2 linked regions of the Danio rerio genome follow. The protein of the gene in region 2 purifies or fractionates together with the protein of the main gene of each other region. This does not show direct contact. Links are inferred from orthologs where the notes say so. Each region holds a gene or a part of one and is shown on either strand. Other genes may lie near its edges. The genes, in order: klc1a and kif5aa.

What was found.
Region 1: the proteins of kif5aa (region 2) and klc1a purify together in Homo sapiens (co-immunoprecipitation; 7 studies listed by BioGRID and IntAct, counting the BioPlex papers as one, with this or other methods). This does not show direct contact. The link is inferred for Danio rerio from reciprocal best matches to the Homo sapiens genes KIF5A and KLC1.

The regions. Positions count from the first base shown.
Region 1 is NC_133188.1:17,848,379-17,852,210, reverse strand, and holds part of klc1a (kinesin light chain 1), read right to left. Parts: intron 3,059-3,832; coding exon 2,957-3,058; intron 74-2,956; coding exon 1-73. UniProt on the Homo sapiens protein: Kinesin is a microtubule-associated force-producing protein that may play a role in organelle transport. The light chain may function in coupling of cargo to the heavy chain or in the modulation of its ATPase activity.
Region 2 is NC_133184.1:232,097-235,928, forward strand, and holds part of kif5aa (kinesin family member 5Aa), read right to left. Parts: exon of another isoform or gene 3,223-3,832; intron 2,913-3,222; coding exon 2,766-2,912; intron 2,051-2,765; coding exon 1,862-2,050; intron 738-1,861; coding exon 620-737; intron 232-619; exon of another isoform or gene 158-231; coding exon 99-157; intron 1-98. UniProt on the Homo sapiens protein: Microtubule-dependent motor required for slow axonal transport of neurofilament proteins (NFH, NFM and NFL). Can induce formation of neurite-like membrane protrusions in non-neuronal cells in a ZFYVE27-dependent manner.

The sequences.
Region 1 (3,832 bases), on a different chromosome or scaffold from region 2:
TGCCTTGGTTCTGACACAGTAAGGCCAGATTATTTAGCTGTTTGGCAACATCAGGGTGGTCCTTCCCCAGCACCTGACAAACACATGAATATCTCACATTATTGACCTGCTGCAGACTTATCTGTCACACTGACGGCTGCAGTGTAAACCACCAACAGAGAGTATATTACCAGGTTATTCAGTTGTTTGGAGAGGTTAGCTCTTACAGTATGGATTGTAATGCATACCATTGGGGCTGCAGGAATGAGAATCCAGCCTTTAAACTGAAATATACTTTTTAAATGTTGTTTAAACAAACATTAAGCAGTTCACTGAACTGCTTTAACTATGCAAAGATGCACTAATCATGTTCACACTTGCTGCTTATTGGCCACTGTAATCTATTTATGTCATATTAGATATAGATAAAATAGCCTAAGCTATTGAAATCATTTAAAGTATTACAATTATCGGATATATAAAATTTTTTTAAATAAATAAACCAATATAAAACAAACAGGGCGAAGCAGTGGCGCAGTAGGTAGTGCTGTCGTGTAGTACATTTAAAAAAAATGAATGAATGAATGAATAAAACAAACAATAGCACTAACAATTTAGGCATGTGTAATAAAAATAAATTATAAATTATATTATACAGTTTTAAGCCATTTTAAACTTTATTTAACAAAGGCCTACCTGAAAAATAGTTTATATTTTTTAGATTTTAGATATTTTCTAAACAACAGAGGAGTCTTGAAATATTATTTATAAAATATTTAGATATGATGATATAAATCAAATTAGGCAAACAGAGCATATTTTGGGTGAGCAAAAACATCAAAAACTACCTGTTCTTTTCTGTCATGCAGTCCTACACTGCTTTATAAACGAATTGCATTCAAATTCTAATTTTAAATGTAGAGCTTTATAAGAAGGATATTTCATATTTTAAATCGTAATTTTTCAAATAAATCTTGCTTGGGTCGTTCTGAAATATTTAACATTACTTTAGTCAAATGTATGATACTTTTTTTTCTTAAACCAGATGCAGATTTTAAATAGCTGCTGTGACGCGAACACAACAATATAGGCTAGCCTATATTTTATTATTGCTCTACGGTTTCCTTTACTTAAGATGACCGAATAATATGCAACATCCTTAAATTATTCTTTTAAATAAAGGGGAATTACCTATTAAGTGTCACATAGCCTATGAAAATAATGTTTTTAGATCTCTCCGGAGAATTAGGATTAACCTTTTGATGGCATCTACCGAAACGAGAAGGTATTAAAATATGATTTAAACCGAGTTATTACCAGAGAAATTCAGTGGTATTATATTAGCCTATAGATGGTGTACTGGGTCATCATCCCTCCGTTAGTTTTAAGACCACTCGATGCACGATACCAAGAGCAAAGACCATAGAAAACACAAGACATGTCACTCGTATAGTTTTTTATGAGGTAAGTGTAACATTCAATATGGCGAATAGAGCCCTGCCTTCTAGTACAGGAGCCAATCATCGATCGCAATAGACAGACGATTCTCCATGGTAGGGGCTCGAACCAGACGTGAGTTTTTGCAGATTTTGTGCGATTCAAGTTGTTTAGAAATTAAACTTAAAAGTTGTTGTTTAAGTTTATTGGTGATTGTTAATATGAAATTTAATCATAAGCTTGGAATGCAATTTTGGAGAATTTGATGTTTCCCCATTCAAACAGAATGCCAGAGCACACTACACGACTGGCGTTTCAAAGATGGCAGCTGAGTGCAATGACACTGGCAGCGTCCAAAACCGCCTACTACTCAGTAGGTATTGCATTTGAATTTAAACGTACTACTCGGCCGTTAGAAAAGTATGTTCTATAAAGTATGAATGTGAAAAGTATGAATGGAATTCGGACGTTTTACATCCGGCATTTTGTTATGGTCACATGACCTACCAGCGTCAGTTGCATCGCTTCACTTCCATTCATGAATTCTCTCGCAGGGCATTATGGGATACCGCAGCGTGCATGGGATGCGCACTCCAGAATCTCGCCGGAAGCAGTAAGTCATCCGGGTACTTCTCACATACTGATTTTCGAATTCTATGAATTCGGACATACTACTCGACTCACATACTGATTTTAGTGTACCATATAGTATGGAAGTATGCAGTTTCGGACGCAGCCATTGACTTTCTTCTTCCTGCTTAACTGGGGAGGTTGTGTGAAGTTTCAATCAGCTAGCAATCTAGGAATGGGGTTTGCATTTTACGCTGTGAGCTATTGACCCAATAGTGAAATCGCAACATGATTTCGGCCTCACTGTTCAAACTCTCTGAGTCTTGGGCTACTTCAGCCTGATGAAAACCCTGGCTCACACTGGCCCGACAGTGGATATGCGGCTAATGATGTTTAGGCACAAGGATGATCAAATTTAGAAATGAAACCTCTAACATTAAAATGGCAAGAGTTTCAGTTTCAATGTATATCCCCTGTGTACATATACGGAAAAGGCAAATACAAAAGAAAGTAGTGATTTGAAAATTTACTTTGACTTGTATTTCATTGCATACAATATGAACACAAATTAGTTCATGTTTAATATGGTCAAATTCATTTTTATCTGTAAATATACATCTTTTCCTGTCATTCAGACCTGAAACACATTTCAAAAAGAGTTGCGACAGGAGCAGATTGGGGCTAGTAATCATGTAAATTGGTTAAATAATGATGCGATTTGAAACAGGCGATGTCAACAGGGAATTGTAATAAAAGATGTCACTACTTCAATATGTTACCTTTGCCGCCGTTCGTATTACTGCAGCGGCGGTAGTTGGTGTGCCAGCAGCTTTTGTATGTTTTTGATAAGTTTTCCATATCATCGCAACCTTTGTTGATTTGGGGTTGTAAATTAGAATCCATTTTGAAATAAAGACTAAATTCATTACTAAGTCACACTCACGACAGGTATGTTTAACACCTGACCCACCTTCTCTCTGATTTCCAAGGCTCTTTTACACAGAGGCTCTGCTTCCTTGTACTTCCCTCGTTTGCCATAAAGAACAGCCAAATTGTTCAGTGTGGCAGCCACCTGCACATACACAAGAACAAGCATGTTTATTTCTACACATAAATTTACTAAAATGTCTAATAACATAAAACAATCAAAAGATCAAATCATTTATAAAGCCAATCATTTATAAACAATTAGTCACTGATTACAAAATGATTATTTAAATGACTGGAAATCTGATTAAGGTCAACTCTGCGGTCTAACATGCATATACACATACAACATTCACCCATGCTGTGTTATAGAGGTGTTCTGATTAACCTTTGATTTAATTACTTCAGTGCATATAGAATTGAATTGTGGAGAGAGAAACAAAAAATAGATGATATATGTTGTAAAGGTGTGTAAATTGTAAAACGGGCTAATAGCAGACCAAAATAAACATAATATTCAGAAAACTGCAAACGTACCACAATAAATTGTATTTAGTATTTATAAATTGTAAGTTAGTATTATCAGTATTAAGTTGAAATGTATGGTATGTAATATATAAAATATAGTATAAATAGTATATATAATTTATAGAAATTTTGGCAATTACAATAAACAACATCTGCTATAAACATAAATATCCCTATAATGAGCAGATAACTGAATACATTAAACCACATTCAATTGAACTATTGTAATATTAAAAATGCTGCCAAACATTAACATACTATAATGCAAAGAAATTAGTAAACTTGAAACTTCATACAAAAAAATCTGAATTTTTACATTTATTACAATTCTGAAATTTCTTTTCTAAAATGCAGTTAGCTGACCAATTCTAAAAGAGAGTTTATAAATAAG
Region 2 (3,832 bases):
GGGACAGGAATTAAGGACAGACGCTTTCATTCATAGTGAACTATCTCCTGTAAATGCAACCTGATGATGTGTGTCCATATACAGTATGACCCACTTACTTTCCCATCAGCCTCTCTGTCCGCCTTCTCTCCTCCGTCCAGCTCTGCCACATGACTCTCTGATAGAAACAAACACACACACACACACACACACACACACACACATGCATTAATGGAGCCGTGCAGTGCAGAACTGAGCTCAGTCTGAATCTGAAACACGTCCTCTTGACTTCAGCTCAGTTGTTTTTGACACACATACGACACATAAAGATATGACACATTACAAAACAAATGTCATATCACTGTCTCTGTAAAAATGAAATCTAGCAGTGTAAGTATTTGTGTGTATTAACGTATATCCCTCTAAAAGTGCACATTCAATATCAGTATTCCTCATTCATCTGCTAAGAGACTAATGCTGGAGCTGGACTTTGTTGAATCCAGTCCTCTTATTCAGTTCACTCAAACCAAAATCTGTGATAGAAGCAGAAGAGTCTGAAGACCAGAGCATAAGAGTGATGAACTGCAGTGTGTGTGTGTGTGTGTGTGTGTGTGTGTGTGTGTGTGTGTGTGTGTGTCACCAGAGTTCTGCAGTGTGTAGAGTTCTTCACTGAGAGCATCATAGTTGTCCTCCAGCTGTCTCTTCTTCTGCTCCACGTTCTGCATGTATTCTGTGAGAGAACGGATCTTTGCCTCATGCTGCGCACACACACACACGCACGCACGCACACACGCACGCACACACACACACACACACACACACACACACATGAAGACACAAAGTTAACAGGATAGACTACAGTCACATTTATTTGACATTTACTCGATATGGCACACACACACTTACTTATACTGGTATTGGTGATTTATGAGGACTTTCCATAGGGGGGAAATGTAATTTCAAACATTCATTTTCTTTTCGGCTTAGTCCCTTTATTAATCAGGGGTCACCACAGCGGAATGAACCGGCAACTCATTCATTCATTCATTTTCTTTTCGGCTCAGTGCCTTTATTAATCAGGGGTTGCCACTGCAGAATGAACCGTCAACTCATTTATTCATTCATTCATTCATTCATTCATTCATTCATTTTCTTTTCGGCTTAGTCCCTTTATTAATCAAAGGTTGCCACAGCAGAATGAACCACCAACATTTCCAGCATATGTTTTACAGAGCGGATGCCCTTCCAGCTGCAACCAATCACTGGGAAATATCCATACACACTCATCCACACTCATACACTACGGCCAGTGTAGTTGATCAGTTCCCCTATAGCGCATGTGTTTGGACTGTGAGGGAAACTGGAGCACCCGGAGGAAACCCACGCCAACACGGGGAGAACATGCAAACTCCACACAGAAACACCAACTGACCCAGCCGAGACTCAAACCAGAGACCTTCTTGCAGTGAGGTGATCCTGCCACCCACTGCGCCACCGTGATGCCGGTAATGTATTTTTTCACATTAAAAACCAGTGTTCCCCTACCCCTAAACCCAGCCCTCACAGCAAACCTGTGGCAGACTCTGGATGTGAAAAGACCCCATCGATTGGATTATTAAGCCTTTTGAATTAGAGGACACAAGACATGTCCTCATAAACCACCTCAATGTTGTAACAACACTGTCATACCCAGAGCCAGACAGAATCTGTCTACATTTGTGCTATTTCTGTGCAGAATGTGGTAAAAATATGCAGATTGATTTTTGAAATGAAAATAAAACTGGATAAATGTAGATTCACACACATTTACATCAAGTAAATACACTCAATAACAGCCTAAAATCTTCGCATAGTCATGAATTATACACACACACACACACACCTGTGAGATGAGCAGTTGGCATGACGACAGCTCCCGGCTGGTCTCCTCCATCTTGCGATGGCACTCCAGCTGCATGTTCTCCAGCTGCCGGCAGCGCTTCACCATCGACTTCACCTCAGATTTAATCTTGCTGATGTAGAGACGTGCCACGGTGAACTCCTCCTCAATCGCACCGCTGATCTCCACCGGCTACACACACACACAGATTACTGTCACCATAAACACACACACTTCTGCAACTGACGCTACTGTGCATCAGCTCATCAGTGGACTCAGGACGTCACACAGTCAGTTTGCATTGGCTGTATTTGCTTGATTCTGATTGGTCAGTTGCTACATTATACATGTTATTCTCAGATAACCACTGCTGAAACTAATGAGTCATCTTGACCGTCAGTGAATACGTCTACATATATATTTACATGCGTGTCTGTCTCGCTGCTGTTTCTGACTGTCTGTCTGGCGCCACCTAGAGACTGAATAATGTGCAGGTTAGCGTATGCACCATTCAGCCATTTCATGTCTGTCAGCTTCGTCTTTAAAGAATTAATGAACTAGTATGGCTCAGAACAATGCTTTGTGTCTAACGTTTCTGTTTTGTGGTCAGTAGCTGTGTAATAAGCAGGATAAAGTACACGCAGGCGGTTGTTATCACAGAATAACCCCTTCAGTCTTTACAGCAGCTGCTGATAAACCTGTCAGGGTTTATTCTGGGTTATAGTTATTATAACCCTTTTTATTTTATGTAAGTAACTATATCTTAAAATAAATCACTGCATAAAATGACTCAAACCAGGATTTTTGCTCACACTGCCTCTATTAGAGACAGATAGCCTGTTTAGCTCATCGATCAGCTATGAGCAGATGAAAATAAACCTAAAGGGAATGTGCTCTCTGGTCTTACTAGCTTGAGTTCTCCGTTTCCGACGATGCTGCTGAACTCGCTGAGATCCTTCATCAGGCCGTTCAACACGTCAGCGATGCGCTTCCTCTGCTGTGAGCTCACTTCCTGCATCTGCGCTAGCTCCGCCTCCAGCTCCATCAGGTTGGCCTAGAAAGGTAAGAAAGCGGTGAGGACACAACATTCGATGCTTTTCCCCTGAATGACACAGCTTGATGCAGTTCAGTGCAGTGATTTGCTTTTCCACTGCAATGCCAGCACTAGCTACACCAGTAACATCTTACAGGATACTGTGATGCCTCCAACACTTGTAAGACTAGTGTGAAAAATAGCACGTCTTACTTCAACTATCCTATTTTTGAATGATTTATTTACTACACGGCTGTCTGGAATACTTGATTCTGATCAGTTGTGACATTCCAATGTATGGTTATTCTCAGATAACAGCTGCTGAAACTACTGACACAGACTACTCTGGGTATTTTGAATCATCTTGACCGTCAGTGAATGTTTTCATCCATATTCATATGCTTTTTTCGGTCATGTGTAACCCCGCCGGTCCTACTGCACCCATCCCGCTCTGAGCTGGTATCGAACCAGTGACCTTCCCCATGGGCGTCGGTTGCTCTAACAAGGAGGCTGAAGATCGTGGTCTCTAGCATCTGTCGCTAGAGCACCTTTAGAGGTCAGAGGAGTGAGGTTTACCTGCATAGCACTTACTATCTGGCCTCCGCCTCACTTCCATCCGGGTCACGGCACCAATGTAACCCCGCCGGTCCTACACCACCCAACCCGCTCCGAACTGAGATCGAACCAGCAACTCTTTGTATGGGAGTCGGTTGCTCTAACAAGGAGGCTAAAGACCATGGCCAGCACTTACTTGCTGGCCTCTGTTACATTCACCCCCCTAAACATAACTCTCATCCGGGTCACGGCACCAATGTAACTAGTCTTTTGCGCCTCTTCTGCGTTGTGTGAACACTTATCAACTTTGATCTTTTGGTGATTTATTGTCTGTGAAAAACAGAACAAAAATGAGCGCAAAGACATTCAACCAGCCCTCGTGCACT